Linked DNA regions of Alligator mississippiensis. The protein of the gene in region 2 binds, or shares a complex with, the protein of the main gene of each other region. Links are inferred from orthologs where the notes say so. Each region holds a gene or a part of one and is shown on either strand. Other genes may lie near its edges. The genes, in order: NUP133, NUP107 and NUP93.

Evidence for each region.
Region 1: the proteins of NUP107 (region 2) and NUP133 are in contact, whole or in part, in a crystal structure (PDB 3CQG), measured with the Homo sapiens proteins. The link is inferred for Alligator mississippiensis from reciprocal best matches to the Homo sapiens genes NUP107 and NUP133. Residues at the interface, in NP_065134.1 of Homo sapiens: Leu875, Gln876, Ala878, Asp879, Val881, Ser882, Ser883, Glu884, Tyr889, Lys894, Leu897, Arg898, Leu900, Leu901, Gln902, Arg905, Ser908, Leu909, Leu912, Asp917, Pro918, Leu919, Tyr921; in NP_060700.2 of Homo sapiens: Trp937, Leu938, Ile941, Asn942, Gln944, Leu946, Tyr963, Ala965, Lys966, Lys968, Thr969, Leu970, Gly972, Leu973, Lys975, Leu976, Ala977, Leu979, Ala980, Ser981, Asp982, Ile992, Glu999.
Region 3: NUP107 (region 2) and NUP93 share a complex: the UniProt entries of both Homo sapiens proteins name them as parts of the nuclear pore complex. The link is inferred for Alligator mississippiensis from reciprocal best matches to the Homo sapiens genes NUP107 and NUP93.

Annotation. Positions count from the first base shown.
Region 1 is NC_081824.1:149,063,229-149,071,239, forward strand, and holds the start of NUP133 (nuclear pore complex protein Nup133), read left to right. Parts: upstream 1-2,946; 5' UTR 2,947-3,057; coding exon 3,058-3,239; intron 3,240-3,394; exon of another isoform or gene 3,395-3,474; intron 3,475-8,011. UniProt on the Homo sapiens protein: Involved in poly(A)+ RNA transport. Involved in nephrogenesis.
Region 2 is NC_081827.1:69,367,748-69,375,758, reverse strand, and holds the start of NUP107 (nuclear pore complex protein Nup107), read right to left. Parts: upstream 4,849-8,011; 5' UTR 4,835-4,848; coding exon 4,827-4,834; intron 2,054-4,826; coding exon 1,997-2,053; coding exon of another isoform or gene 1,995-1,996; intron 1,431-1,994; coding exon 1,345-1,430; exon of another isoform or gene 1,326-1,344; intron 24-1,325; coding exon 1-23. UniProt on the Homo sapiens protein: Plays a role in the nuclear pore complex (NPC) assembly and/or maintenance. Required for the assembly of peripheral proteins into the NPC. May anchor NUP62 to the NPC. Involved in nephrogenesis.
Region 3 is NC_081833.1:36,478,440-36,486,450, reverse strand, and holds the start of NUP93 (nuclear pore complex protein Nup93), read right to left. Parts: upstream 4,401-8,011; 5' UTR 4,213-4,400; intron 3,373-4,212; exon of another isoform or gene 3,266-3,372; intron 1-3,265. UniProt on the Homo sapiens protein: Plays a role in the nuclear pore complex (NPC) assembly and/or maintenance. May anchor nucleoporins, but not NUP153 and TPR, to the NPC. During renal development, regulates podocyte migration and proliferation through SMAD4 signaling.

The DNA.
Region 1 (8,011 bases), on a different chromosome or scaffold from region 2:
TTGTATTTTTTTTTTAGTAACTTTTTTATTATGGAATAAAATTTTATAAATAACATTTATTGTACCTGTCATCTCATGTTGGAACTGTCCTGTTTTCACAATGTGATGGGAATTTTTAGAGGTTTGTTTTTTTTTTTTAAAAACACAAGTTTCCTATTCTGCATTTTTGGAATTAATGACCCTAGTGCCTATGTCGTATTCTTCTTCAGCACCTGAAACTCAATGTGTACTGATCACTGTATGCAGAAAAAGAGGTGTAACTTGTAAATAGTTCTCTTCAGGTCTTTTTTCAAGTGTAAGCACCTTAAACTCGGGATTCTTTTTAACATGAGCCTCTCCTTTGCCGTCTTCTGATTAGCTCTTTAAGGTACCATAGCGAGAACAAGCTCTTCTAGAAACAGGAAAGAAAGGATTGTATCATATGGTCCCAAAGCTCACCTCTGCTAAAGCAGACTTATTCCAAAGGCAAAACTTGTTCAGAAATAGTCTCATAGATGCAAGGGGTACAATTAATCTCTAATAAGGATAATTTAAACAGGATCCATGTGAGAAACTCAGGATGTGAAAATGAAATTTGGTTCAGATCTCCCCTCTGCCTAATACCATTTTAAGAAGGGATTTCTGTTAACCCTCCTGCAGAACACCATGGGAGGTTGGGTACCCCTCTTACATGGCATGTTCTTTGTCCCTGGCTTTTCTCTGCATTATTATCAGCATCTCTTGTATAGAAGAGAAGTAAATGGGATTTTCCAGTGCAGTTGTGAGCCCCGTTGAGCTTGTAAGCTCTTTGAGGTTGGAATTGCCATCTTATTAGAAGTTTTTTAAGAACAATCACAATGGCACCCTAACCTAGTCAAAACCTGTATGTACTACTTTTAATCTTGATGTTTTTATGACTGCCTGGTGGCCAGGGCTTATTACTAGGGACCTACTTAATTCATGGAGGCTGCCTCTGTATTTCATGGTCTTGGCATGGCATCAGGTGCCATTTTCACAGCCGTGTATGACAGGCCCTGCCACACCTTCAATCAAGGGATCCCAGAAGTCCTGCCTCTTCTCCAAAACTGACAGATGGCTACCTGTCAATCTCCAGGGAGAGGTGGGACTTCCAGGGGAGCCCTCTGTCAATATTCCCCTCTCTCCCTTGTTCCCTCCCTACCCTGCCACCAACGCTGTGCTCCAAAACACCAGGGTTTCCTGCCCTTTTCTGTTTGCAGCCTGGGCACAGGCATGGGGAGCAGAACAGCAAGGGCTGGCGCTGCTTAGAGCCACGAAGCAGTAGGTGGGACAGCTGCAGCTGGACTCACGTCTTGGTGCTGGTACAGAGCTGCTGCCAGAAATGGAGCTAGTGGAGGCCGGCAGGGGCTGTGGTTTGGGAGTGAGGGGTAGGGGCAGGGAACTGGCATATCAGCGCTGCTCAGTGTCCCACATCCTGGTGAGCAAAGGGGGCAGGGGCAGCTCTAACTTTTCTATGACAAAAAAAACTAAAAGCAGATGCCAAAGTGTGTAGATACTTAGAATTTGTTTATTATAATGATAGAGGCACTGGGTAGGCTTCTGAATTCCTTTAAAATTGTAAATATATCAATAAAACATTGCCCAACTGATCTCTCTATATATAGTGGTATTTAATTTTAATCGTGGAGGAACATGGATTTTCGGTATTTTAATGAGAGAATTTGAGGGTTTTTTATCAGAGAATTTGCGATTTTTAGACGAGGAACACCAGGATCTCTATTGGTGAAGCAAGGGGCAGGAACTGGGCAGAGGAGCCTGCCCAGGGACAGCACTGAGGACCCAGCTGGAGGGCAGATGAGTTGGCTGACTTCCTGGCCATTTGGGGCCAGGAAGGGAAACGTTGACAGTAGGGCCACTGCAAGGACCACATCTTCTAGGTGATAGCTGTCCAAATGGCAGAGCCAGGGCACCAGAAAACATGAAAGCAGTACTGCCTAAAGGCCATATCCATGGCCCACTGGCAGCTGGCCCAGAGGTGAAGGTGGCTTTGCTGCAGTGCCCATACCATAGCCCCGGTGGCCATGCAGCTTCCGTCTAGGTCTAGCAGATGTGCCGCCATGGGGCTGCAGGTCCAAGAGGGTGGATGCTGTCGCAGGTGGCAGCAGGTCACAGCCAGGCACCAGCCCCCACTGCCAGACTGCTGCAGTGGGTAGAGGGTGCAGGGGCCACTAGGTTAGGGCTGCTTCATCACAAGGGGCTAGTGTCCTCAGGTACCAACTGGCCCCAGCCTCAGAAGCTCCTGTCTTATTTGTATCTTCCATATTAACATGGGCCTTAAGGCCCACCCAGCTAACTAATAGCCTTTGTGGAGCCAAAGGGTGAAAGATGCAACTAATTTCTTGGATAGAAATGATGTGGGGGTCAAAGGATCAAAATGTGAAAATAAGTTCTCTAGAGGGGGACCTCAGAAGCCCCTGAGGGCATGTAGCCATGAGCTGCTAGCCAGGGCCACTGCAAGCACTTGGCCTACAAGAGATGAAATGCAAAAATCTAGACCTCTTGGTTTCAAAACGATACCTTTCATTAGACCAACTGGGGACTCGCAAAAAAATATCCTTTTCTCCAACCTTTGGGCTCAAAGGCCGTTCATCAGGCTCTGGAAAAAGTATAGATCGTACATTTTGAACACTTCTACTACACATTGTACAAAAGTTGACATTATCCGAGAAATACGGTAATTATCCTACATAAGGTAACACAGCACCCCTCCCAGCCCCGCTCTGCGCATGCGCCACAGCTAACTGCGCGCCTCAAGCCTAGCCCCTACAAGCCGGCGGCCGCACACCAAGCCCCTCCCCTCCCCTCCCCTCCCCTCCCGCCCGCAGTGGTGGAACAGAAGCCCCGCCTCCTCTGGGTGGGATGCCCTGTCAGGTTGGCTATTAACGGCTCTGGAAGGGGCGTGGCTGGGCGTGATGTGAGAGCAGTGCGCGGCGCAGAGAGTGACGGCGGAAGCCCCGGCGAGTTTGGAGGCAAGCGGGTCGGAGCGCGCGCGCCCGCCCGCCCTTCCCCCGCTTATCCTAACTGCCCCCTCTGCCCACCATGTTCGCTGCTCCCCCCGCCTCTCCGCGCACACCGAGTGGCTCGGCCCGTCGGGCCCTGGGGGCCGCTGGGGGCTCCGTGTCCCGGCCGGGCGGCAGGAGAAGCCTGGCCCTGGGGACGCCGGTCGGCTCTCCCGCGCTCTTCTCCCCGGCGGGCAGGAGGAGCGGCTCCCTGTCAGCACGGTGAGTGCCCCACCCCACTCGCTGCGCGGAAACCCTTGCGCCGCCTGGGCCCCGCCCCCTGCTGCTGCCGCCGCCTCGCTTTGGCTTTGTTGCCCCTGACGCGCATGCGTGGGGTGGGCGCTTGGCTACCCGCACGTGCCGCGCCGCGAGGTCTAGAATGGCGTGAGGTAGGGGGCGTTGTGTGAGGGGAGACCTGAGAGGCCGGTCCTTGCCCGAGTCCGAAGTCAGTCAGGAGGTGGGTATCAGAGTGCCTTTGGAGAGCGACACAGGAGGGAGTGTGTTTTGTGTGTCAAGTCTTTTTTTGATGCATGTCTGTATCCCTGCCAGTGTGATAACTTTTGCTGATGCTTTAAGTGTGAAATCGGTGAAGTTTCTTTGTGGAGATACATTTTTTTTCCCCCTTATTAAAAGTGCCAAAAATGTACAACATGAGCTTGTGTGAGCCCCAGTTCCCTTCATCAGATGCTGGGAGAGGATGTGCAGAAGGCAGAGTCTTCGGGGGGAGGGGAGAAGAAACTGGGATGCAAAAGCTTTTCCTTTCTGTTCTTACACTCTGCCTCATGTGTATCCTTTCCCAGCATCTGTTGGAGGGATCTGGGGTTCACAAAACACGCACTCTCTCCCACACACCTCTCTCTGGATAGGTGTCTATATCTACCTGCATCTAGAGCAGCGTTTCTCAACCCAGGTCGCAACCCAAAAGTGGATCTCAAGAATATACAAAAGGGTTGCAAACAAACTTGAACAGTGGATCAACAAACTTTTAAAATGGATTCTTCTTTAAAAGGGAAAAACTTGGCAAACTGTGGCTTTTCCCTTGCAGGCTGGTAGAGCTCCAGCTTGCCAGGGGCTGCTTGGGCCCCCCCCCTTGCCCCACATACCCACCCCCTGACCTACACACTGTGGGGACAGGGCAGTGGGTCAGGAGTGAGAGGCACTGGGTTGGCACTGGCTATTGATGTTGACAAATGGGTCCTGGTACAAAAAAGGTTAAGAACCTCCAGAGGCCAGTTGGGAAGTGGGGGCAATCAAAGCGTGCAAAAGCAAAACCAGAAGTCTGTGGGAGCAGAAAGCCTAACTACTTTTAAGAAGTGAAGTCATTAATGTATGTATGTTGGCCTGTAAGAGTAAGGGAGTGGATTTGATGATCTAGGGCGATGGTGTTCAACTCATCTGGCCGTCTGAGTTAGGGCCTGTCTGCAGAGGCTGGATCCAGCATGTGGGACCATGTTATGGAGCTACCCATGGGCCCAGAAATTTACTGGCACGGGAGCTGCAACAGTGTTAATTGTCATGGCTCTGGGAGCTGTGGTAATTAATGCTGCTATACCACTCCCTTGTCAAATTTCCAGACCCATGAGTAGCCCCGTAGGCTGAATGACATGGCTCTGTGGGCCATATCTTGGTCACCCCTGACCTGGGGGATCCTTTTAGAGGAACAACAAATCTACTTCCCCTAATCAAAAAAAAGTTCAACTTTAATATTTATGGACTTGGGCATTGTTGATTTGTTTGCTACATAAAGGAACTAAGGTTGTATGAAAGAGGCCTATCCCTAAATTGGGGAATTTAAATAGGATAGCCTTGTTTTATATTTTCTTAAGCTTTTTAATGTTTTCTGGTGGGAGATATTTCAAGATTCTGGGGCAATAGTTTTTTAGTTGGTTCCTGAGTTTATAGCAAAGTGGGGGGAACTTTGATTCCCAGGCCAAATCTGGCCCACAGGATCTATCGCAGGGTGGGCAAAATATGGCCCACAGCCTGGATCAGGCCCGCCAGTTGATTGCATCTGGCCTGTGGCACTTGGATGGGAGACGGTGCCAAGGCATCCTGTGCCACACTCCTACTGTACTCCTGCCTGTCACATCCCCAGCCAGTGTGCACAGCTTCTTTTCAGGGCTGCTCTGGTTGTGGCTACAGCCGCCTGGGTACTGCTCAGCTCTCCCCACTTCCAGAAGCTCCTCCTCCAGCCCCTACTACACTGGTATGGGTGGCAGGCAGTCACGGGGAAGGAGTGGTGGCTGTGGGAACATGTTCCAGGCACCACACACCCAGCCAGGTAGGTGGGGAGGTGTGAGGAAGCTACAGCTGGACAACTTCTGCCTCAGCACGCAGGGCTCCAGCTCCTGGCCAGTGTTCCCTTTAAGGTGTAGCAGTCCATGAGCGCGCCGTTTCGATCCGTTCCCGAATTGGTCCCACCTCCCCCTTTCAGCACGCGCCACTTTGGTCTGCCTCAGTATAACAAAAAAAGATGATACTATAACCTTTATTTACCAAAGTGACTCCTGTCTACCTTTTTCTGTTTTCCAAACAGAATATACAGTGTCCAGGTTAACAGTCTTTCCTGATGCTAAATGAAGTTTACTTTGCATCAGCTTGTCCAGATTATCAGCTTCTAAACGATTTCTAGACTTTGTTTTTATTGTGTTCATGAGGCTAAACCCTCTCTCACAATCTGCACTAGATGCCTGGAAAGTGGCACAGATGTCAACAAGTAATGACAGTTCACTAAATTGTTCCTGTTGTAGTATGTAGGTGACCATGTCTTCAATGGTCTTTATTGCCCCAGTTTTCATCTTCTCACTAACAGTTAATTTAAAGTCCACATATTTTTTGCATAGTTTCTTCTTCAGAGTTTCTACAGATTTGTTTAGCAAGGTGCTATCTATGTCTTGTTGCCAATGCTTTCAGCACCTCGTGCCCAAAAGAGAAATCATTCCTGTTTGATGAAGAGGAAAAAGAATCCTTATAAAAAAATTGACCATTCTTTCAACTCGCCTTCTGGAAATCTGTTGTCTGTGTGGTCACATGTATGCTCAATGATTTGAATAACTGATGTAGTGTCAACAGGTGATTCAAATGATGACAGCAAGGTTTGAACGTTTTCAGAAAAATATACAGTCTCACCAAGATACTGAAAAGCAAAATTTGGCAATTCTAGCTTTAGCAAACTGAAATGCTTCTACTGTTGTTAGTGAACTTCGTTGAAGCATTCTGCACAGCTCAGCCACTTCACCTAAGACATCATTTAGTATGACCAGTGCAACATGATACTCTGGTTTCCGCAGTTTGTCCAAGCAATATTTGTGAATTGGGTCATCGTCTTCAGCCATTTGTTGTGTGCAGTAGTTCATCAAGGTGCTAACAGTAAAATGTCTAGAGAGCCATCTGGCCTTATTCAGTGGTCTAAATGATGTTTCACACTCAGCAGCCTTAGGTAGTTCTTCAAACTTAGATTTTTTTACAGAAGACCTACTAAAAAGTGTGTATATGGTCTGTAGTAGAGTTTCAGTGCACCCCATCATCAATGCATCATCAATCCCCAAGTTTTCCCAGTGTGCCACGCAGTGCTGCTTGAGCAGATGTGGAATAGACTGGCGAAGTACTGCAGCCACACCATTGCACTTTCCAAGCATTACTGAAACACCATCAGAGGTAAACACTATCTTTTGCATATCTAAGTTGCTGTCAACATAAAATTGCCTAATAGTGGAGCTATCACAAGCTGTCAGCTTTAAAATTCCAGCAAACCTGTTCAGATGTGTGAAACCATCCATAGTTCAGAATTTTACTTACAGTATTAACGTTTTGCTAATAGAGATACCTGTGCTCTCGTCAACTATCAAAGTGTGGAATGCGATGTACACATTTCATTCAGTACTCCCTGATGAATTACAGAATTTATGCAGTCAATAAATTGAAATGCATAATTCTTACTTCTCCAGCTTTCGGGAATTTTAACATATTTACCAACGTGACTCTGGATTTCCTGCACTGATAACATTGATAAGTTTAACTTCACTGTGAGGAGAACATTATCAATTAAGACTTTTACCTCATCGGCATTTGATCACTTCCTTTCAGACAGTTCTATCCTATTTTCCCGTGTCTCGCATGTTTCAGAAAATGAACTTTTCAGGATTCCTCTGCTTTGGTTGCATAGTTTCATCACAGAATCTGTGTGAATCTGTCAGTTTCGAACATCTCCTTCAACCAGTCTTCTTTGAATCTTGAGCAGCTCTTCTTCTTAGCTCGTCCACTGCATTCATCCTCTTCACACTTATGCTTGGACATTGTAAAATGAATATAAAGATGATCCTTGCTGCAGGGAAGATATTGGCCTTTCTAGAATGATAGAAAAAGCAGTTAACTTACCCAAAGCACCTTGTCTGCATATGCCCTTAGACCAACACAGCTGTAGCTAGCACTTTAATACTTTAAAATTTAAATGCATAAATTAATGACAATAAAGACAAACCACTAAATGGCTAAAAAACTGGTGCCAGCCCCCACCTCGCCTCCGGGAACACAGCTTGGAGGGAACCTTGGCCCTAAACACTGGCCTTTCTTTGATTTGAAATCTGCTTTTATTTCTGCAGTGATGCATTTTAGGGAGTAGAGGATTGGGTATTCATTTGGAATTCATTTATTTTTATTTTTCACTTATTAACATGACTGTTTTTGATGGTGGAAAGATAACAACCAAAGGTCAAATCTCACTTGGATACAGCTCCTCTTTATTTAAATAGGCATGTGAATTTCAATAGGAACTTGCTGTATTTTCCTAAACTTATTTTATAATCATTAACTTGTACCATTTTGAGCTTTTATGTGTCATATATTGGCAGTATAAAATAGCAAAGGCCCTCAAAGCCAGGAACCTCAGCCCCCGTTCCTGCATTGCCTGTAAGAGTGGAGCAGTTTCCTGGCCCTGGCCCTGGCCCCAGCCCCCACCTTGCCATGCCTCTGGGAGTAAGGAGGCACATGGCGCC
Region 2 (8,011 bases):
ACTGTCATCCAAGGATGCAAGACCTGTTGAACAAGTTAAGAAAAAAAGTCTCCTAAACTTTGTTTCATATTTACTAATAACAGAACTACTACTGAAATACTTTATCAGATAAGCAAATTATCTCTTCTACTACCATTTAAAAAAAAATTGCAAAGCACTTCAGGTATGTACATCCAACCCAGGAGTGGGCATATTCCAGCCCACGGGCTGCATTGGGTCTGCAACGGACCCCATTTCCTAGCAGCCCCTGCCTGTGTTGCTGTAGCTGGATTTCCATGGAGACTCCAGGAGTGGCAGGGCCATAGGTTTCCATGCAGTACTGGCAGGGTGTGCAGCTGGGCAGGGAGCTGCTCTGGGACCAGGATCTTGTGGTGGAGACAGCATGGTCTGGAGCTGGAACAGAGCTGCCATCTACTGCTCACAGTACCCTGCCTGCTTATACTGCACATTTCCCAAGCAATATCAGCAACAGGAAACCGACATGAATCCTGTCAATTTTACTTCTGGCCTGATGATTTGGAAATGGAACAACAAAAAGGGCCACCACCTTATTAAGCTAATTTTGCAGTAGTTCCAGAAAGTAATAGAAAGAACAGATGCACTAGAATTTTTTACCATCAAAATCAGATAATTACTATTGCATTCATTAAATTTATACAAAATGGTTCTAACAATAAAATAGCTATAGTGAAAATGAAATATTAACATTTCCATTTCCATAGTCAATTATATTCATTTGCTAAATCAAAACCCCCAAGTTTTCTAATAATGTTGAAAAATTTTGAAGGGAAACTGAACTAGAATCTAAAAATAACAACACAAAAGACAGAATTAAAACATTCCAGGTGTTACTCCGAATTCTCACTACCAATTTTTTCTATCTCTTTCAGCTTGACAAACATGCATGAAATAGGAATAACTGGCTATATGTTGGATACAGTAAAATTGACAAAATACAAATGCTGTTGAAAGCCTAAGTACAACAGAGGGATTGTTTTTACTATGTAATCTTTCACCAGTAAACACACACTACTTTTGAACAGTAGATTTAAAGGTCTTAGAAGTGGTATTTCAAAGTTAGTGAGTGATATTTCAAAGTTAGTGATGTTCCTTTATATTATGAACGTACAGGACAAGAAAATGCAAGTTTCATACTAGTGTTATTTCAAATGTGCATAATTTCAAGGAATACAATACAGTACTCTATAGCAGTTGAAATTAACTAGATCTCATGGGAGCCATAATTGCTATAAGCCAAAACCAAGAAAAAATAACTATTCCATGGTGCAGTCAAAATATTAGAGGTTTCACAAACACGCAAAAACCTTGACAGAGAAAGGATACTAGAAACTCTTTTTTGAGAACTCTGTTTTCGAGCAGGCCTAGTCATCTCCGCATCTTGTGGGGATGCCACATTTCCAAAATCAGTCCTACAAAACAGAAATGTAGTAAACAAACAAATACAAATAAACAGATTTAAGCAGGACAAACTATGGGAGAAGAATTCTATTTTCTTTTGCTAATTAGATTGTACGATCAATAACTACTTTCAAATACTTTAGAAAAGTAAATAAGTGTAGCCAGTATTTTATGAAATTAAAAAGAAACTACTTTCTCAAAATAACCCCCTCTCCTCACCCCCCCCCCCCGCCCCAAACTCTTGTGGTTGTTTCTATCCAGCAATGTCCTTTAACTTAAAAGAAGAGGGAAATGCTTGAGAAGAAACAAGTTCTCCACAGTGCTGAAAAGATTACGCTACAAATATTAAGTAACTAACTTCACACTCATGGGAAATATTCTAACAGATGCACAGTAGTCCCTCCCACAGCTAGTCCAATTTTAACTAACATCTTTGACAAACTTGAACATTTATGCTGAAGTTCTAATACTAGCTGATTTTACATGAGAACAGAATGTTTTTGAAAAAGTTTAAACAAGTCACATAATGGGTTTATGAGACATGATATTTAAAATAAAGAATGAAGTGAACTCACACCTTTGATTCTTTCCCCAAATATTTTGATTTATCTTTGGCCCATGAAGTTGACCTGTGCTAAGGAGAAGGGAAGATTTAGCTTTCCCATAAAGCAAAATGCTTGTGAAATGCAAACTGCATATAGACCACCAAATACATAATATTTGTAAAGTTCCTAGACTCTGTGGGAAGCTTCAGAATCCAAGAAGTTAACTTATATGCACAGACAAAACTGGAACTTCACTTAGATGAGTAAGTTCAAAGGCCTGAAGAGACCAGCCTCCACACTGAGACACTCCTATACAGCACAGACCTAAGGAACTCCCACAGCAATTCCTGATCCGAGTGCTCAGCTTGTTTGAACTATAGCAGGGCTGTCAAAGTTGATTGGCTCATTTCCCCCACACCACCCCGAGCTGGATCTGGACTGCAGGGCTCCTGGATCCAGATCTCCAGCAGCAGGGCAAAGCAGTGGTGGCATTAAACAGGCAGTTTATGCAGAGGCTCAGACATTTCAGGGAATCAAAGCTTAATACAGCTGTTGCTCACCCTGCCAAAACACATTCCCAGTGGGACTTCATACTCTTAAACTCAGAGGAAGGCCTCACCCCTGCTCACCCCCAAGTTCCCAACCCCTTCAGGAGCCCCATATGCCAGATGACACAGCTCTGCAAGCCAGATCCACCCTACAATGACACCCCTGAACTACCACATTCCTTTAGAAAGATACCTCACCTTGATTTAGAGACATCACATGACAGACTACCCCATATCTGCAGATAAGTTGTTCCATCGGTTCTACCCTCATTGCACCTCATTTCTAGTTAAAGCTATGTGAGCTCCCAACTTCTGATCCCCGTGCCTCCTTGTAGCTTTTTCTACAAGGTACGTGTACACTCAAAACCTCTTCCCCAGATAGCCCTAACCTCATTGCCTTCTCTGATATAAACCAAATAAACTGAACTCTGATAACACATTTTTTTTCAACCCTTGTTAAAACCCCTGGCAGTTTTTCATAGATGTTAGAGGCTGGAAGAGACCTTAGAAGATCATTGAGTTCAGCTCCCCTGCACTTGGGCAGGAAATACTGCCGGGGTCAGATGACCCCAGCAAGGTGCATGTCAAATCGTTTTTTTAAGCTCTCCAGGGTAGGTGACTGTACCACCTCTGGGGGGAGTCTGTTCCAGACCCTCAACACTTGAATGGTGAAGAAGTTTCTCCTTATGTCCAATCTCAAACGATCTTCAATCTGTTGTTGTGGCTGTCGTTTCTTGCCTTCCCCTTGAGGATCCCTTGGTGAACAGATGCTCCCCCAGGCCCTGCTGTGCACCCCTGATATACTTAGAGGCTGCCACCAAGGCTCCTCTAAGTCTTCTTTTCTCCAGGCTGAACAGTCCTATGTCATTTTGCCTTTCCTTGTATGACCTGCTCTCCAGACCTCTAATCATGCATGTAGCCCTCCTTTGGACAACCTCGAGCTTCTCCCCATCCTTCTTGAAGTGTGGCGCCCAGAACTGAACACAGTACTCCAGCTATGGTATCACCAAGGCCTAGTAGAGTGGGAGGAGAACAGGCTTAGTCCTGCTTGAGATACATTGGTAGATGCATACTCGTGTTTGATTTGCTCTGTCAGCTACAGCATCACATTTGTGGCTCACGTTCATTCTGTGATCTGTTACAACCTCCAGATCTCTTTCAGCTGCGGTGCTGGCAAGTATAGCACTGTCAAGCCTATAAGTGTGCTGTGGATTATTCCTCAATGGAATAACGATGGAGCACTTTACATTTCTCAGTGTTAAAGATCATCAGGTTTTGATCCACCTACCTTGCAAGCCTGTTCAGGCCTGTCCTATATCCCCAGCCCCAGCACAGTCCTCCAGTGTGACTGTGCTCCCCCATTATCTGGTGTCATCCACGAGCTTCGCCAGTCTGCTTTTCATATGCAAATCCAAATCACTGATAAACGTGTTGAAAAGCACTAGTCCCAGCACTGAATCCTGAGGGATGCCACTGGTCACCTTCCCCTGTGTTGACTCAGTGCTGTCCATTAATAGACTCTGGATGCATCTTGCACTCAGAGCCAGTCACCTAGCCTGGCAAGTGCACTACCTAGCCTCAGAGCCAGTTTCAACCCTTTAAACATAGTCACTCTCATAGCTTTTTTCTGAACCTAACCCAGAGGACGCCGCAGTCCTGCTCCCATTGCATTCAGGAATACCACACTGCTACGCCTGCTTACATCCTCCTGCAGAGCTCTCACTCCCCCTTTCCTCAACTGTGCACTTGCCTCAAGGCTAAGTCTCCCAGAGATGCTGCTTTCAGGGTACACCCCTCCTTCAACACATTTCCTTCCCTCCCACATGTACCTCCTAGCGCTAAGGGGCACTGAAACGCACGGTGTCAACTAACGCAGACTAGCAAGAGGGTGCGTGTGTGAACAAGAAGGGTGCTTCCCCACCAGCACAAGAAGATACAACGCGCGCTGGCAGAGCGCCCTGCTGTTTGGTCGGGAAACCGGCGGTGGCAGCGGCTCTCGCCCAGGCCGGGAACGAGCTGCCAACACCGCGGCCCCGCTGTCAGTCCGCTGAGGGAGGGCGGCCCTGCGGCGGGGGCACCATACGAGGGCCGGCACAGCCCCTCCACGAGCTCCTGGAGCCGGCGCAAGAGACCAAGCGGAAGCCTCCGACACGAGCCCTGAGGAGAGACCGCGCCAGCGCAGCCACCTGCGGCAGCCCAGGCCAGGGGGGGAGCTACTGCACAGCCCGCGCCTCCCTCCGCCCTGAGCGCATCGGGCATGGGAGCCCCTGGCCACCTCCGTCCGGCGCTGGCTAGAGAGAGGAGAGGCACTCACCAGTCCATGCCGGCAGCCCCGGCCGTGGCCACTACTTGAGCCTTCCCGCGTTCCGGAAGCACCCGCCCGCCACCGGAAGCTGACCCTGCACCGGCGCCGCGCGCAGAAGGCGCATGCGCCTCCTGCCTGCGCGCTGCTGCCTGCGATGGACGAGGCGGAACTGTGGGTGCGCGCATGTGCACATTAGCCTGCGGTGGCTCGGGTGGGCTGCGTCCCTCAGCTCTGGGGCAAGGGGCGCCTTTCCTGTGCGGCCTGCTGGGGGTCGGGGGCTGTCAGTGAAGCTTAATGCTCCTCTCAAGAGTGTCTTACGCCAGGCATTAGGCCTGAGCAGCAAACAGCGCTGGGGCACGCCCGCCTCTAGGAGTAGGTGGGGCCGGGGGGCTGCCCCCTGCGTCACTCCTGCCTGCAGAGTTCAGTGCATCTTGCACTCAGAGCTCCTCTGGCAGCATAGCCTGCTTGTTGCAGGCACAGGTTTGCACTGATTTTTTTTCTCCCATTAATATATTTCGTGTTCCGGATCAAGTCAGCCAAATCATACTAATTGGTCAGAGCTCAAATCGTTCTGAAAACCTCATTGATTGAGCAGGCAGAACTCAATCTCTTCAAAACACCATGCATGATGCTACAACCGGCGGGCATCCTCCGTCGCGGGCTCTCACTCTAGGAATTCAGATAGTCCCAAATCTACTGGCAGGCATCCTAGTGCAAGCCTAAAGCCAGAGGGCTTCAGATTTAGGTACACGATCCACAGAAGCTCGCACTCCGATGGGGCTGGTGGCTAACATTATTGCAGCAGAACAAGGCGAGTAGAGAGGGGTGAAGATGCTACGTCAGCCCTTTAGGGACAGGATCCTAGAGAAAGCAGGAGGGATGGGGACTTCCAGGGTTAGCTAGTCCGGCCCTATCCAAACCATCCGACAAAACCGTAAGTTAACTCCACTACCCTTTTTATTCCTTCACTACCCTTGCACAAGCACAAACCTAACATCCTACGCTAAAGCAGGCAACATCCTAGTTCTGTAAAATATTGTCAACATTTACAAGGGTTGAAAAAAAAAAAAAAGGGTTCAAGAGATCTGGGGTAGAGGGCAATACCCCAACTCTGCAAAGGAAGGCAAACCCCCCACCCTCCCCCTCTGCCCCCATTGGTTGAGACCTTCCCCTCCCTACCTTTTTGCTTTTTTTTTTTTTTTTAATTTATTTACTTCAGCCATAAGCACCTGAACCATGCTTGGTTGTCCTTAAGCACAGTAAATAAGAAATAGTGGGTTTTTTACATTATTTAGTTACACCTACCCGATAATAGTTTATCATTGCTGGTGGACAATGCCAGGAGTTAGTTCCAAGTAATTTAAATCAGACCAATTTTTAATAGATAAGGATCACCCACAATTATGCCAGTACATTTCAAGACGAGATGCACAAAAGGGGTTTTGAGCCATCTGGGGCACCTATCATCGAGTCTTACACCATATGAAAATAAAACTTTAACACAGGCAGGCAAAGTCAAACCCATGGGCCAGATCCAGCCAGCAGTGGACTCCGTTTCCCAGTAGCCCCTGCTCTGTGGCTGGAGCCACTTTCCATGCAGAACCCAGCAGCAGTTGCCCCATGACAGTAGGGGGCAGGGTTTCCATAGAGACCCCTGGGAGGGGTGGCTGTGGGGAATTGAGGGGTTGCTCTAGCTGCTTCAAGCCCCACCCCCGGCACCTCCCCTGCTGGCAGGGCAGAGAGCTGCGTTGGAGCTGAGCTGGGATCTTTCAGCCGTGACAGCGTGATCCAGAGCCAGGGCAGAGCCGTGACCTGCACACCCCAGTCCGGGGCATGCATGCTGCAGATCACAGCTCTCTGCCCTGGCTCAGGATCACGTCACCGCTGAAAGATCCCAGCCCAGCTCCAGAGCAGCATTGCACCCTGCTATTTGCCCTGCCAGTGCTGGTCTCGATGGGAGGCCAGGGTTTCCATGATCACAGCAAATCGGCTGCTGGGGTGTCCATGGAGACTGGCCCCAGCCGTACAGGCAGGGGCTGCTAGGAAATGGAGTCCAGCTGCTAGCCGGATCACCCATTTTGTCTATCTCTGCTTTAACAAGTCACGAGTTGCTAAGAAAAATACCTGCTCTCCCAAAGAAAAAGCCATTAAAATGATTATTAAAAACCAACAGTAAGAAATCCATCATACAAGAACACAGGAAAACTAGCAGAAGCAAAACATTTACTTGAACTCTCTCCAGTACAAGCAAGCAATAAGCACATTGTGTTGCTTCCCTTACTCTTGGCAGTAGGTAGGGTGCAGGATCTTACCATCCTCCCCTTCCAAATTATATACACCATCAAAAGCTTGTAATGTCAGATTCTAAACTAATATATTGTCTTATACTAGTGAAGGAAAGTGCATGTGACAACTTTATTTTAAAATTGAATCTACTCTTTCATTTACACAGTATAGAATGTAGGAACCCAGCTATCTGGATTTTGGCTCACAAGCCTACTACTCTTAGGTGTTATAGAGATGAGTGGGGCAGCCTTCCTAGTTTTTTATAAATTAGAGAAGTAACATGCTGTGCTAGAGACTAAAAAATTCTATTTTCTTAAACTGTAGAACAATCATTTGGTAGCAGGGGGAGGGACAAGAGAAGGAAGCTTCATTGTGCCCAGTATAAACATAGGAATTTAATATATGGGTAACTAGGAGTTTCAGGGATTGAAGTGCATACTCCTCTTTCACCTGAAACATTACTGTTTTTTTGTAGAGAAGAATAGAAGCTTTTATTCTTGAATATGTATACCCAGCATGACTGAAGCAACTGATCAACTTCCTGCTAGGTCTTAAGGAAGTATGTATGATGTGGTTAAAATGTGAAAAGTTCAGTTACACTGAACAAAGGAGGAAATAACTACAACTGCAAATTCATTTTAAAATCAGACACAGATCTTTTAATAGACAGGCAGAGATGCTGCATTTGAAAAAACAGTTCATTTCCCAATAATTTTAGTTCAGCTATGGTCCTTTCAAAAAGTGGTGGCAGTGAAAGTAGAAAACACTGAAGCTGCAAGTCTGCACTCTGCAGAGCTTCCTCTTCAAATATGTTACAGGAGCATGGAATTAAATGCTAGTCAGTTCGTTTAGTCTATGATTCTGTCCCTTTACCATACTGTTTCAGCAGAAAAACTTATACAGCCCTG
Region 3 (8,011 bases), on a different chromosome or scaffold from region 2:
CTATTCCATGTCCAATAAAACTCCATTTTAACAGTTCTCTAACATTTGGAAACTAAAAATAAACATTATATATTGCAGTAGTTGACTGAATTTAAGCCAAAAGGGCACTGGAAGGCAATGACAGGTATGGTTTGTTAACTCCACACTGATTTAAATGATGATTTGCCATTTAAAAAAACGACTAATTCTCCTCAAGACGACAGTGATGCTGCCCAATGAAGAATGTCGTAATTAATGTACTCCAAATATAGCCATGCTGAATATTTTATTGAACAGGCTTCAAAGCTTAAATATTCAAATATGTGAACATCATCCGTTATCTTTCAAATACTGAAAGGTATGTGTCATCTAATTAATTAGCTTTGAGAAATATAGAGCAATTTAATTTTTTTAGCTTATTACTATGAAAGATAATATAACAGATAAAATATCTAAAATATAATAGAAGTACCCACATTTAGAGTTAGACATCAAAACTCAAGGTTAAAAAGACTCCATTACTTATATATTTTTTCAACAAGTCATTGTTTTATAACTGGTGTGTAGAGTGGTCACATTAAACTCTGAATATAGTCTACCAATCTTTTATTAAGGCCATCTACCACTTACAGCTTTGAAGATCTCTCCGAAATGGAAAATGAATATGAAGATATACTATCTACCCTCCTGCATACCAGACCTCTCCAGTACTACTGCAGCAAAGTGAAATTGACAAGTCTGGTTCAGTTTCACCCTTTACATTCAGAAACTCATAAGCAACAATGAAAGAGACAAGAATCAGGTCAATTTGACTCCTCAGCTTCCCTAGGAAAGCTACCAGCAGCAGCACCTATAGAAATTGAAACTAATCATGAGGAGAGAGAGAGAAAGAAAGACAAACCCAAGGATGAGCAAGAAGCTCCTGTGAGAAAAGGAGACTCTAACACTGCTGATTTTCTAGAGGCTTTAGGGGCAGCTAGGAGTAGCAGTATCAAGCCACCTAAAGAAGGTGCAAGGCAGCACTTTGGCAACAAGTCCAACATCTTCTCTCTACTCAGAAGATGGAGAAGCTGCTAAGCTATACAGTAAGGCATGTCCCAAAGCTTTGCTGATGGCTCCTCCCTTTCTCTCAGCTTCTGGAGGTCCCTGTATTTAAAATCCTACAATAAAAATAATACTTACAAAAACAACCATCCATTTCCAAGTTTTCACCAACCACTAGAAATTCTGGCTTTACAACTCCTTGATATAAAAATTCTATAACCTGAACGCTGCAGACTACTTGTTGATTGCGCAAACAAGCTTTTTAGTATTTTTGACTGTCAGCTTGTTTTTATGTTTCTATACAACTTGCAAAGCAACCATGCAGGTTTTCCTCAGGTTTCTCGACCCTTGCCTCTTAAATAGAGGTTTTGCTTGCTTTATGCAGGTTCTGTATGCGCAAATTCACTCTTATCCGCTGAGCTATTTATACCAAAAATTCATTATATACAAGGTAAATTCACTCTTATGTGATCAGTGTGGTGGAAGCCCTCAGACAGCTGCTTTGACGCACACCCAAATATAGTCTCCTGCGTGCACAGCATACCCAAGCAGGGTACAGGACTCGGGGCAAGTCAGCGTTTGCGGGGCCCCAATCCTACTCCAATCCCATGGGCCTCGGACCCAAAGAAGCTGCCACAGTCGTCAGCACCAGCGGTGGTGTGGGGGGTAGCGAGTGGCTGGATGTGCCGCTGCTGCTCCACCCAGCTCTGCAGGGCCCCACAAAGCACAGGGCCTGGGGTGGTCACCCCATTTCACCCCTGCCACAGGGACAGGGCCCTGCCTGTGTGGATCTGTGCTCCTCGCTTGTGGTCTGTGACACGTGCTTCTGCAGTTGCCATCCTTATTATGGTAACATTCACCACCACCCTGTGCAGTTGGCAAGTACCAAAACGGTCTTGTAAAGTGGGGGTCAGTACAATCGAGGTCTTGGAATGTATCCCGATTTGTTACATTGTAAAGTGGGTTCCCTTTGTATGAATTTGAGGTATGCACCGTTTTCCAGGAATGCGTGTACAGCATAAAGCAAAGGAAACCTGTAATAGTGTCACCTGTCAGTTTTGTTACCTCAGAATTCATGCTTTTTCCCCAAACTCCTTTCTATATACATTAAGCACCCAATCCGAGCCCAGACCATTGACATACTAGGCTAACCACTGTTACGTGGAAAGCTACCATTATTTGGAAGGGGGGGGGGGGGGAGACAAAAACTCAACACACTCAGAAATTATAAAGGATGTTACAAAAGAAATGTAGAAATTACTGAGATAGCCTCTCTGCTGGAAAAAAAAAAATATCACACATCCAAAAATACAGGCATTGTGCATGTGACAGAATTACTGAGCCAAGGCCAGTGTTGGGCCAGGGAAGGTAGCCAGCAGCATGGAGTGGTGTGCATCTACCCATCAAGTTTCACTGTGTCAAAAGACTAAGTTTTAACAAAAGAAAACTCCAACCACATTAACAAGAGGTTTGCCTTGCCCATGGAGATTGTAACCCTGGTTGCACTCAAGTCAGCATTTTGTGCTGCAACCCTGTAGAGACCAGGGCTAGAAGACAAATCAGATCCCATCTAAAAAGGTCCAGTAAACCTAGTGTCCCAATCAAGAGAACATACTTGAGGCTACTGCTGGTCAGAAAGGCAGAGAATGCAGAGAACAGAGGAGAGCAAAACCACACCGTACGCATTTCAGTTAGATATTTTTTAACGTGTCTAGGACATTTGTCATATGCCATTTGTTTCCCTATAGTCCTTTTCCCCTGTTGATGGGTTAGTCCAGTCAAAGCCTAAAAGGAGCAAATGGGAAATGGCCGGTAGTCAGCACAAAGAGATAGTGATGGTTTCTTAGTCTGAAGTCAAGTAGCGGGCTGGGGAGAGCTGTACTTTGCAGACCAGTGAAATCCAAGGGAAAGTTAAGAGCGGGCACTTTCCGAGGGGGCTGGAGCCTAACGCAGGGGCCTGGCCGCTGAAGAGGCCGAGAACCCGCACTAGAGACCAGGCAGGGGAGGCCCCAGAGGGCAGGGCGCAGGCGGCTGCAGGCGCCCACACAAGCCGGGAAGCTCGTGCTCGGGGCAGACCCGCCCGGCGCGCTGACAAGCCCGGGGCCCGGGAGCTCCGCCCGGGCGAGCACGAGCCGCCGGACAGGGACTCACTGAGGGCCGCGCACGTGGCCCCGGGGGGAGGCCGCAGAGGCCACAGCCGCCGCCGCCGCCGTCCCGCACGCGCCGGCCCGGCGCCACTTACCGGTGTCCTTCCGCCGCGGGTGCCCACTCCGCGCCGCACGCGCTGATTGGAGCAGCCACCAAGCTCCCAGCAGCCCCCACGCCAAAACTTTATTGAGGCGCTGGCAGGAGACACGGGCAGTAGGGGCGGGGTGTCCCCTGGCGGTGGCCCTGGGGTTGCTTGGCCCGGCCCTGCCCTGCCCCGCCCCGCCCTGCCCCCGACACCCGGGCGGGGGCGGGAGGAGGTGGATGGAGGCCTGTACGGGTCACAGGCCTCATTTCATCTCCTCAGGCCAGGGCTCGATCAGGGTGCGCACCAAGGCTGCTCTCACGGCCTCCGCCTTGGGCTGTTCTGGGGCGAGCAACTCTGATGTGCGGCTGCCCGGGAGGGCGCTGCTCTTCCTCCTGGCTGGTTTCCCTGTTGGAGGGCTGTACCGGCCTAGCACGGAGCCTCCCAGTGAGGGATAACTTGCAGGTTGCTGTGGCCGACTTTCCCTCTTGGGGATCTCAGCCTAACAGGCTACAGTCACCTCTAGTTTTATAGATCTTCTGCGGGGAGATTCAAATGTAATATCATCGGATGGGCATGCCCTGATTTCCACAGTAAAATCCACTCGGAGGAGTGAGTGGGATCAAATGCCCTTCACCCTTCAAACTCTCTAAAAACAGAATTTAAAGCCTGAGGGCCAGGCATAGTAACTGTCTTATGATCTCTCTTCCCCCCAGTGTATTCACTATACTTCCTCCTACCACGGGCACATCCTGATCAGCAGCAGATTCCAATCTCCCCCTGCCCTGCACCTCCACCCCCGATTGCATTTTAGTGGCATAAGCTGGAGCCAAAGGGTAAAGAGGTGAAGATACTGCTCCTTCAGAGGCTATTAAGTGCTTTGGTTGAAAGATCAGTAGCAATATTTAAAAGGCAGCCGGAGAACACTTCTCCCTCCCTCCTGCCTAGTAGTTTCTTACCTTGCCATCTGGATTTGTTTCATGCTGTCTGCCTTGCTGGTGACATGGAGCTGCGTGATCGTCTGGTGTCTGACATTCATAATGCCAACATCTGACATTGGTCCTTCAAGGACGCTGGATCCAGCATTCTAGTTTAAAATGCCAGCTGTCTCCAGTGAGGAGAAAGCAGAGAGAGAGGATTTTTTTTCTCTCCCCTTCTTTCTTTTCTCTACAATTTTTTTAAAGATTTTGCTACGCACAGTGGTGAGTTGAAAAATTACAGGAGACACAAGGCACTTACAGAGGTGCCCTGTCCTTGGACAGAAAACAACTGTCCTTCCAAACAACTTGATAAGGGTGGGAGGCTGCTGGCTTGACTATTTGTTTTAACAGATCATATTTCCTGCTCAATTCACCCAAGACCCTAGGCCTTGAGTATGAATCAGATTGTCACAGATTTGCAAAGTGAAGGGGTGGATGCAAAACTTCTCTCCCTTTGTATTCCAGTCTAGGAGCCAGTAAATGATCTAAACCAGGGGTGGACGATCCCCGGCACGGGTGCCAGAACATGGCATGCAAAGGCATTTTGCTTGGCACACGCACCTTGGGGCAGACGGTGGAGAGTGGACCAGGCCTGCACTGCCACAACAAGTATTTGGCCCCTTGCAGCCCCTGCCATCCACCCCCGGCATGCCAACATCTTACAAGTCAAGGTTGTGGGTGTTTTTGGCACTCTGCTCAAAAACATTGCTGACCCCTGATCTAGACTCTGCAAGGTAAAGAGCATCCATAACTCAGAAAAATGCTGATTTGAATTAAAGGGTGTTATTACACATGCTCCAGGGGGGGAAGGGGGGGTATTTAGAGCAGCTCAGAGAGCCACTCTAATTGAAGTGCCCTCAGTGTCTTGTGTAATCAATGTCCCATGCTTCAAAATGGCAGTAGGAGCACTAACTGAAGCTTACTGAACAAGCTTTAGTTAAAGGGCCCCCACCACCATCTTAAAGCATGGGGACGCTGAATACATGAGACATGCAGGCTGCTGGAGTGCATTAATTAGCACACTCCAGCAGACTTGATTAATTGAGTCTGCTCCAACATGCTGTAATTACAGAGCACCCTTCCTGTACATCTACAGGCACCCAAACACATTCAGTATTTTTTGCAAAGGCCACAAAAGGTCTTGCATGATTGGGACCTGTGAGTGCAATCTATGCTCCAGGTTAGAGCCAAAAATTACCCTTCCCTAAAATAAGGATGAGATAAGGGCAAGGATTTGATTCAACCCCTTCTGCACCAGTCAGCAGAGACAGCCCTGCATGTAGGCATTGCATGCATTCCCACAGGTTCTGTGTCTTCTCAATTCCAAGTCAGTAATGAAGCCTTCACAGCGGGAGCACTTCCTGTTCTTTATTCCTTGCTTCCAGAATCTCTTTACCATAGGATCCCTTCCCCTTCAGCAGAGAATGAAGTCCCATGGCTTTATTTAACAAACCTATGGAGCCTGTATGATTCCAAAATAATGAATCAGAAAGATTATAGTTTCATAGTTGGGAGGGTTGGAAGGGACCTGAGCAGCTCATCAAGTCCAACCCCCTGCCATGGGCAGGAAAGAATGCTGGGGTCAAACGACCCCGGCTAGGTGATTATCCAGCCTCCTTTTGAAGACCCCCAGGGTAGAAGCAAGCACCACTTCCCTTGGAAGTTGGTTCCAGAACCTAGTACCCTGACAGTGAAGTAGCACCTCCTGATGTCTAGTCTGAATCTACTTTCAGTCAGCTTAAGGTCTTTGTTCCTTGTTATTCCCGGTAGTGCTTGGGGGAACAGGGACTCTCCCATTGCCTGCTGGTCTCCCTTGGCCAGTTTATAGATGGCCACCAGATCCCCTTTCAGCCCTCTCTTGTGGAGGCTGAACATGTTCAGGTCCCATAGCCTCTCCTCATAGGGCCTGCCCTGCAGATCCCTGATCATGTGGGTGGCCTTCCTCTGGACCCTCTCGATGCTGTCCACATCCCTCCTGAAGTGTGGCGCTCAGAACTGGACACAGTACTCCAGCTGCAGCCTGACCAGTGTCGCATAGAGGGGAGGATCACCTCCTTGGACCTGCTCATGATACATCTGTGGATGCATGACAAGGTGCGGTTAGCCTTACTGACCGCATCCTCACATTGGTGGCCCACATGCATCTTGGACTCAACAGTGACTCCAAGATCCTTTTCTGCCTCTGTGCTGATGAGAAGGGAGTTCCCCAGCTTGTAGGCATGCTGCTGGTTCTTCCCTGCTAGGTGCAGTACCTTGCACTTGTCAGTATTGAAACCCATCCTGTTCTCATCTGCTCACCCCTGTAACCTGTCCAGAGATAGTTGTAGCCTGTCCCTCTCCTCTAGCATGCCCACTTCTCCCCACATCTTAGTGTCATCTGCGAATTTGAACAAGGTGCTTTTCACCCCCTCCTCCAAGTCACTGATGAAGATATTGAACAGTGCAGGCCCGAGGACCGAGCCCTGGGGAACCCCACTGCCCACATCCCTCCAGGATGAAAATGACCCATCCACCACCACTCCCTCCAGCCAAATTGTGACCCATCTGACTGTGCAGGCATCAGCACCACAGTCACCTAATTTTTTAATGAGAATGGGGTGAGAGACAGTGTCAAAGGCCTTCCTAAAGTTTATAAAGACCTGCGTCCAAGGATTTTGTGACCTGGTTGTAGAAGGCAACCAGGTTGGTCTGACAGGACCTGCCTCTAATGAACCCGTGTTGATTGCCCCTAAGCATAATCTCCCCTGCTGGCCCCTCACAGATGTGTTCCTGGATAATTTTTCAAAGAGCTTTCCCAGGACCAAGGTAAGACTAACTGGCCTATAGTTTCCTGGGTCCTCCCTTTCTCTCTTTTTTGAAAATGGGAACCACATTGGCCCTTTTCCAGTCCTCTGGCACCTTGCCAGAGCACCACGAGTGCTTGTCAAGCTGTGCCAGGGGTCCCGCAATGATCTCTGCCAATTCCCTCGGCAGTCTGAGGTGGAGATTGTCAGGACCTGCTGATTTGAACACATCTAGTCCCACCAGAAGTTCCCTGACTAGGTCCTCGATGAACCTGGGTCTGGCTGCACCTCCCTTGGGTCTGTCCAGGATCCCGGTGGAGGGGATAACCTGGTCCCTGCTCAGAAAAATAGAGGAAAAGAATGTGTTAAAGAGGTTAGCTTTGTTGTCTGGTGTGACCACCAGATTTCCAAGCACATCCTGCAGAGGTCCCACGTTACCTGGTAACTTCTTTTTACCCGCTATGTATTTAAAAAAGGACTTCTTGCTATTTTTGATCCGGGTCACTAGTCCCAGTTCCGTCTCCGCCTTAGCCTTCCTAACAGCCCCCCGACAATCTCGAACAATGGAGGTATAATCCTCCTTGGTGATGACCCCTCCCTTCCATTGGGTGTATGCCTCCTTTTTAGCTTTGAGATGTTCCTAGATGCTTTTGGTGAGCCATGGGGGCTTTTGAGCACTCTTGCCCCCTTTGAGCTGCTTTGGGATTGTCACCCTTTGGGCTTGGAAGATAGTCTCCTTAAGGAACAACCACTCTTCTTAGATTCCCAAATCCCCTCCCCTCCGGGACCTCTGTGCCTCCCCGACTAGTCTCCTTACATCATCGAAATCTGCCCTCCTGAAGTCCAGGGCTGCTGCCTTGCTGCAGGCCTTTGACACCCTGCGCTGGATGGTGAATTCCAGCAGACAATGATCGCTATCACCCAGGTGATTGAGCACCCGGCAGTCACCTCACCAGGTCATCACCTGTGGCCAGGTCCAGGTCCAATAAGGCATT